Oryzias latipes: one gene and its partner. The protein of the gene in region 2 purifies or fractionates together with the protein of the main gene of each other region. This does not show direct contact. Links are inferred from orthologs where the notes say so. Each region holds a gene or a part of one and is shown on either strand. Other genes may lie near its edges.

The links.
Region 1: the proteins of adar (region 2) and dhx9 purify together in Homo sapiens (affinity purification with western blotting; 3 studies listed by BioGRID and IntAct, with this or other methods). This does not show direct contact. The link is inferred for Oryzias latipes from reciprocal best matches to the Homo sapiens genes ADAR and DHX9.

The regions. Positions count from the first base shown.
Region 1 is NC_019875.2:12,671,595-12,676,049, forward strand, and holds the start of dhx9 (ATP-dependent RNA helicase A), read right to left. Parts: upstream 3,038-4,455; 5' UTR 2,940-3,037; intron 2,430-2,939; 5' UTR 2,359-2,429; coding exon 2,248-2,358; intron 2,178-2,247; coding exon 2,037-2,177; intron 1,809-2,036; coding exon 1,703-1,808; intron 1,631-1,702; coding exon 1,476-1,630; intron 1,303-1,475; coding exon 1,154-1,302; intron 694-1,153; exon of another isoform or gene 634-693; intron 548-633; coding exon 501-547; intron 86-500; coding exon 1-85. UniProt on the Homo sapiens protein: Multifunctional ATP-dependent nucleic acid helicase that unwinds DNA and RNA in a 3' to 5' direction and that plays important roles in many processes, such as DNA replication, transcriptional activation, post-transcriptional RNA regulation, mRNA translation and RNA-mediated gene silencing.
Region 2 is NC_019874.2:18,636,625-18,640,331, reverse strand, and holds part of adar (double-stranded RNA-specific adenosine deaminase), read right to left. Parts: intron 3,660-3,707; coding exon 3,543-3,659; intron 3,390-3,542; coding exon 3,262-3,389; intron 3,181-3,261; coding exon 2,998-3,180; intron 2,888-2,997; coding exon 2,775-2,887; intron 2,164-2,774; coding exon 2,036-2,163; intron 312-2,035; coding exon 1-311. UniProt on the Homo sapiens protein: Catalyzes the hydrolytic deamination of adenosine to inosine in double-stranded RNA (dsRNA) referred to as A-to-I RNA editing.

The DNA of each region.
Region 1 (4,455 bases), on a different chromosome or scaffold from region 2:
AGGTGGTACAGCTGTCGCACCAACGACAGCGCGCACGACTGCGCTGCCAGCTTCTTGTTAGATCCGTGTTCGCGGGCCGTGATCTCTGTAAACAACACAGCACAAAAGGGGCGGAGTCATCTCTGACATCACCCGTAGGATTCTGCACAGCAGTAACGAATCAAAATCGATTGGTTTTTGTTGCATCCACCTCAACAGGGTTGAAGGCACAATGGGGCGGGAGAAAGTAAACTATTCCTATTTGAGGGGTGATTCGTTTGTTTCATATTTATTAAAAGAATTGGTTTCTGCCGGTATTAGTCTTTTGTCATTTAGTTTTAAGAAAAATTTCAAAATGCTAAAAAATACAAGCTTTCTGATACTTAAAACACAAGAGAAAAGGTTTTCTATTTGTTAAGGAAAGCACCAATTTCTATTTACTGGCTCTGCTAAAATAAGCGTAAAGAATCTCAGCACAGAACCGTCTCTGTGGTCTCATGTACAGACATGTCAAAACTTACTTCTGCCGAGCTTCCTCACGAACAGCTGCATCTCTGCTATGAAGCTCCTGCAGACAAATAACATGGCAGAGTTACATCCCGTGCCTTTCAAAGTAAAAGCCTAAAGCCAAGCATCCCTCAGGAGCAGACTCACCTGATGTGTCCTCAGAAAGAAACCTGGGCGTTTTTCTGCCAGACTTTCAGGTTTTAAAGCCTACAATGAAGAGCAACACCACAAATCACGACCAGAGACCACGGAGCTGCACCCATGGGGGGGCTTTAGAGAACCTAAACGCCATCCCCATGTATTTCCTCAGCGTGGTCGTGAGTTCTAGTGTCGCTCTGCAGGCTTTGAGTTGAGCATGTGGCTGTGAGGGCTCTCCGGTGTAGCCGGCACACGCAGGAGCTCTCTGGGTTTGCAGCAGTCCGGCAGAAAAACACACAGGTGCTACCAGTGAGCGGCGGGCCCAGGAGTGTGGCCCCTTTCAGAGGAAACATTTACCAACCCGAGAAGCTGCAGCTTTTTAATTAGAGTTCATTTGTCAATACCCCACTCTCCCACCCCCACCTGACAGATCTGAACAGCAGAAAAGACCAGATCCAGACTGACGAGAGACCTGGGCTCGTCAGGCTGGATCTGGTCAGACGGCTTGTAGGGGAGCGCTGATCCAGACCTGTTGTGATCGGGTCCCACTTGGCTGTACGTGTACTCGGAGGTGATCTTCTCCTGCTGGAAGAACCGGTTGAGACGGGCCTTGGCGTTCTCCAGGGTCCAGTTTCCGTGCAAGTTTGCATTCAGGTCTACCTCCTCGGATTCCAGCGTCTACAACAGGAGAGCCGCATTAGTGGGACCGGTACTAAGGCAGAGCAGTCCCACCTGTTATGAAGCCGCCTAATGTTGTCACAGTCATGTGACTGCAACATGTGACAACACAGCTCAAAAGGACCGGGATCTTCTTGAAAAGCAGCTTCATGGCACATAGCTGGCTCCAGTACCGCTTGAGCCTCCTGCTCATCCCTCCGGGCGTAGTACTCCTTCAGGTTGGCTCCTCTGTCCCACTCAGCCCCTCCTCCTCCTCCCCCATTGCCACCTCTAGGAGGGAACCCTTGTTCAGTCTGTCCTGGAGGTGCATTGATGAAGGCATCAGCCTCTGAAAACAGAAACCACAGGATGAAGAGGACTGAAGTCAGGGAGCAGCAGGTTAGGTGTGTTCGGCTCAAACCTTTCTCCACCTTCACCACCAGGTGGGGGGGCAGCGGCCCGCTGGCTGGGAGGGTTCCGAAGCTTCCCGGAGGTCCTTCGGGCTGGTTGGGTTCTGGAGCCACGGCCTGGGTAGAACAACAAAAGGCCGTCAGTTCCGGTTAAGTGTTCGCTGCCCACTGGTAAACTTTTGACTAATCCTTGCAGTCTCCCAGTCTTTATGGATCTTGACTTTCTAAATGGTTTTCTGTTCTGGCCTGAACATAGCTGGATGCTCTATTGATTGGAAAGATGTTCCTCTGGTTTGCTTTGTTTTTACATCTCCTTTAAAAAAGCGTAAAAAAAAGCTTTCTGACCCCCAGAGCTGGAACCTCTTCAGCCTTCATCTCCCCGACTCGGACCAGATAGTTGACAAAGTCCCTGGCGGCGTTGGTCTGAGCATCCTTCTTGCTGGTGGAGTTTCCCATCCCCACATAGGTGAAGCCATCCACCCGCACCTTCAGGAGCAAACAGAGACGTTACGGGAGAGTCTGGTTACAAACCAGCTGGCTGTGAATGCAGACCGACCTCACACATGAACTTCTGCCGGTTTTTGTTGCCCGCCGCCCGGATTTCGTAGTTGGGAGTCAGCTTTTTCTTTCCACACCAGGCGTACAGGAAATTCTTGATGTCCGCCATAGTGGCGAGCTTCCAGCTCCGCGTGGGCTTTACCTGCGAGCTTCAGGTGTGCCCTGGTCCCTTAGTGTTGCCTGTAAAACACAGAGGTGGCTCTGAACAACCGCAGAATCACTGGCAGGCGTCACATCAAAACATACAGTGTTGTTCAGGAAGCTACAGTAAACCGCTGCCTGCGTGCGTGTCGTAAAAGAAACCCTAAACAGAAAAACATATGTGCGCCGACACACACACAGGGAGAAACGATAACAACACTAACGTTACTAAGTCACGGGGGAAATGTTTGACCGTTTTTATACTTCAGCTAGCCACGTGCAGCTCCTATCATCAAGCAATAATGTGATCCTCCATGCAATATTTTTCCCCAATTGATCCCACATTGAATCATCAGTTGCAACTGAGACAACTACAACGAAAATGCTAGTATGCTAACGTTAGCTTCATTCATCAACCGGTGTAAACGTTGACAGACGCATTGAGGCTAAACTAACTAACGCCAGTAAGACACGAAGTACGTATGCAAAATAAATATTAAAAAAGCAAACATTTTCATTCTAACATCAACGACTACATTCAACACCTACCGTCCGCTCAGTCAAGTCTGCAGTGCAGATTCCTGCAAAGCGGCAACAGCGGAAGCTTTGAACTCTTCTACCGCGCAACAGCGCCACCCTCTGTTCTGGAGGTGAAATGAACTGTTAGCTCCTGGCAGTGAGTTGATCCTTTTTTATCAACGCCCCTCTGCATGATGATTTTTTTTATTCTACTGGGATGAGAACTAGATTTCTGTCTTTTGTCACTCTAGTTGGTTTCCTTTACTCAAATTACATTGTGGTTAACATCAACCCATTGTCCACAAGGATTATAAGTGGCCACTGTGTCATAAACATTCATAAAATCAGTGTAAGTTTTTGTTGTTGTTGCTGTAATCAAATTTAAATTATTAAAATTATTCCAACCCTGCGAGAGACTGGCGACCTGTCCAGGGTGCCCCCTGCCTTCGCCCACAAGTGGCCGAGATAGGTTCTGGCAGCCCCGTGACCCCGAAAGGGAGCAAACGGAAGAAGATGAATGAATGAATGAATGAATGAATGAATGAATGAATTAACGAATGAATGAATGAATAAATGAATGAATGAATGAACGAACGAATGAATGAATGAACAAATGAATGAACGAACGAATGAATGAATGAATGAATGAATGAATGAAAGAACGAATGAATGAATGAACAAATGAATGAACGAATGAATGAATGAACGAACGAATGAATGAATGAACAAATGAATGAACGAACGAATGAATGAATGAATAAATGAATAAATGAAAATTTTTCACAATTTCTCCTTCATGAATTCAATTCAGCATTTATGTAAGTTCCATAAACAATCAGAAGTTCAAATTTCGAGTAACAACTATGGAAATATTAATCTTGCTTCTGTGTGATTCATATTTGGAGCACGAAATATGGACTCCAAATGTAAATTATATTTTAAATCAAGTCAACAAAAACCTTTTATTTTGTTACGTGGGATGTTCCATTGTTTTTCTCACGAATAAATTTTGTTTTAACAAATCAGTTTATTTTTATAAAACAAAAATCTTCAAATGACCAAATCCTTGTCTAATTTCTAAACTTCTCATCTGATTTTAATTTAAGAAAAAACCAGATCTCTCTTATAAAATGACATAGCTGTAACATGACCTGCATTGTAAGGTTTATTAGCTTAAAACCATAGATTTTTATTTCATTTTTATTTTTTCAGTGTCAACCGAAGATTTAATCTACAGAATCTACAGAAAATCTGTCCTGTTTATAGTCCTGATAAAACCAATAGTATGAAATAGAATTGCACATTTTTGCTGCTCTTTGTTTACTGCTGTAGACAGGAACCTCACAGGAGAGAAAACCACGCTTTCTCTATCCATATCCAGTTTTTTGAGGTGGTCAGTCGCTGAGCAGAGTAGCCATAAACGCCTGTAGAGGCTCTGGCAGAAACCTGCTGTAGTCACAGAGACGGTGAAACCAGTGTGTCTTGTTCTAAAGCCCCATCTTACATATTCTGTCTTTTCTTTTCAGATTCAAACACTGATCCAACC
Region 2 (3,707 bases):
GCTTGTAATCCACTGCCCCCTCGTTTCTACCGCCCCCAAACTCCACAGAGGTGCACGCTCCGTTGTTTCCCGTTCCCTCCACAGACTCGAAGCTCTTCTCTTCCAGCGGCTTGCCGATCCAGGCTCCATAGCCGTGGACGCTGAGAGCTTGAAAGAAGTGTTGTTTGGCAAGTTGGAAGGATGTGGCTGATATTTTGGCCTGAGCGTAGGAGGGCAGGGACAGGAGGTCAGCGCGATTTGACTTCTGGCACATAGAGCGGAACAGGCAGAACAGACGGGACTTGGAGACCCGGGACACCGACTGTTTGTTCCTACAGGGGAGATAATGAACAAAACTTTAGCAGGTTACTGATTAACAATGAAAATCAAGTAAACGGGGGAAAAAGGCATGTTCATTAAAATCATACACTGATACATTTTTTACACTTAGTGCTGCTGAGTGAGACTCTATCATGACCTAAAATGTCAGTTTTGTTCTTTTCATGGGTCAGTGTGTGGCTAGGATTAAGAAAACTCTTTCTCCACATTTGTTAGGAAATTTTTCAAAAAAAAGGTAGAATTACTTAACAAAAAGAAAAAAAGAATAAACTACACTAAACTACCCACAAAATAACTTAAATTTGAATTTTGTTTTCATGATAATATGCATCTTTTGTAAGGAAAAATTCACTTCTTATAAAACAAGAGCAAAGCAATGCTGCCATCTGTGGTTTTCTTCAGATCATGTTGACGAGCCAGCATCCTGCCATGCATGACTCGGCATCGCTGAAAATGTTTTGCAGACAAATATCAATTCCTCACTGATTTCAGTTTCTATTCTATCCCATCTAGTCATTTTATGCTTTATTATGTAACAGGGTGAAACTATTGCTTTTGTTTTTAACGTTTTTTTAATGAAAATCTTTATTTTGGTTTTTAAGTTTGAAACTTGTCTTCATTCCGTAAATCCCTTTTTGCTGCAAATATATGATAATGTGTTTTTTTTCCTTCAAGTGTGAAGTAGCTGGAAAGAGAATCATAATGAAGACATGCCAGAGAGGATGGCTGTCAGAGCCCTGCCAGTGGAGGTATTGGGGGCATGTGCCACTGGGCAGAGGCCCCAGGTAAGAGCTGTCCCCATGTCTGGCCTGAGAGTACCATGGGGTTCCTCCAGTAGAACTGGAGGAAGTGTACGTGGAAAGGGGGGCTGAGAATCTGTTTAGACCAGCGGTGCCCAAATCCAGGCCTCGAGGGCCGGTGTCCTACATGCTTGCAATCATCGTGCCAGTGAAGCTCCATTCTGGCTAAACACACCTGTAATCAACAGCAGATAAGGAAGAGTTTCTGGAAAACTAGCAGGAGGCCGGCTCCTGAGGCCTGGATTTGGGGACCCCTGGCTTAGACTGAGGACCCCGCAACACAGCCCTGGATAACCATTAGGGATATGCATTGGCAAGAGTCTGGCGATGAGATTCGCATCACCATAAACATATCACCAATGTGATATATCCAAAGACAATATATCACAATTTTTTTTGAAAGAGTACAACTTTTTCTGAATATTAATACATCTTTCATGTGAACAAAACTATAAATAACTATAAACAAAACTATAAACTTGATAAGAGAGGGTTAAGTAATGTTAAAGTGTGCATCCTCACAAATTAACGCACGCCGTGGAAGCCTAAATATTTGCTTATAAATATTTAACCCTTAAATAGTAAAGATGGGGCTGTGACATATATAACACGCTCTTTGACATACCGTAACTCCACGACCATTCATGTGATCGAAAAAAAAAGTTTCTTATCGGCTTTTCTTATTACTAAAGTGTTGCATAACAGCGTAAAACTGTTTCTCTCAGCAATAGAATTAGCTGGAATAACGTTAATTGCATAAACGTTTGAAGAGTTACAGTAGTTAAAAGAACGTAAACACTGAAGCAGAAGCTCTAGAGTAAAAAGGTTAATTAAAAATGATTTTGGCTACATCGATTTTTTCCAACATCCCTAAAACCATAAGAAGGTCCGTGGTTTATACTTAACCCAGGACATACCCATCTAGTTTTCCTTTGGTCCCATCAAGGACTTCCACATTGTACTGGTCTGGAAGGCTCCAATTCACACTGGACTCTTTGGTCTTGCCTGTGTGACGCGTGGAGTCGTACACACTCACTCTTCCCACCTGGAGTCGCCACAAACAAAGCAAAAAAGTGTTAACCGTGCTGATTTTAATCCAAAAACCCAAAATATTTGTAAGCATGAGTGACACCAATCAAAATGTGCAAATTAGCTTTACCAGTAGATTTGATTTATTGATTTATTTCAAGCATCGTAGTCAAAGCAATAAACAATTTACACATATTTATCAAACTCATAACAGAAATTATGAAATGCATAGATTAAAAAGACAGAAAATAAAACAAAACAAAAACATCACTTAAATCACCTTTGCTTAATGAAATACAGAGATAATTAACTAAAGTATAAGTAGAATTTGATTTATTGCTTGAAAAGGAGTGGGAAGAAGCAAGTTTATATAATCCCACCCCCACCCACCCCCTGAACAATGAAACAAAAGCTAACAAGTAATTTGGCTGCAACTTCAGTTTCTCTTTTGTTCTGGTGATGTGACAAGGTCCTTTCAGTTAATTGATGAATGAATCTAATTTACATGATAGAGAAAAACGTTTTGCAGGACAAACAAAAGTGCTTCATCAATTAACTTAATGAGAATAACATCGATGGTCCTAATTTATCACCAGGCCTGCAAGTGTCCGTTAGCTGTGCCGTTACCTCGGGATGGTTCAGCGTGAAGGGATGGGGCAGACTCTGTGCAAAGGCTTCACCATCTCTGGCAAGGCGACAGCAGACAGCACGGGTCAAATGACCGTGGCTGTACAGATAACCTGGAAGATGAGTAAAAAGAAATAAGTCGGTAGAAAAAAGCAGTGTTCACGTGACTTTTGTGCCAGAACATTAGTGTCTCAAGACTATTTTTGCCAAAGTCCATAATTACCAAGGGTGATTGACTTCAGGTAAATGGGATGCAAGAAATGTGTGAGCAGTGCCCCCTGGAGGCCAAGCACGTTCCAGCGCAGGATCTTATCGCTGCAGCTCATGGTTCGCAGCCTTTCACCATGCTGAATGCCATCCCAAGTGGGTACAATGTCACTTGACTCCACTGGGATGGTTCCCTCACCTGGAAACAGGATCTCTTACTACCAAGAACAGGAAGTCGAATTGCTTTCTCCTGTACTTCCTTTATGACAAGACATCTCACCATTCTCCACTTTCGTTCGAAGTTTGCCCTGCTTGATGTTCTCAAATAGAGGCGAGTGGCCCTGGACTTCATCTCCCGTCTCACTACATGACTTGTCGAACAAAGCGCCATCTCCGCAAGGTGCCGTGCTGCGGGTGAGAGTAAATTTAAGGTTGTATAAGAAATAAAACCACCATAAGAGCATCTAAGATCTTAAGGTATCACTGACATATTCAGTATGAGTTAAAAGAGAAACATAGATGTTAAGGAGGAAGTAAACTTTTCACATTTTATTAATCTACCTGATATAAAGGTGAAAGGTGATGTCAGACTTGAGCTGAAGTTTATTCCCGTCTGCCGGTTCAAAAATACTGTCATCTGCGCCATCATAGTATTTGAGTAGCTCGTTGTACAGAAACCTGAGAACAAAGGAGACAGCGGTTGAGACGAATAAATAATCTCCGACA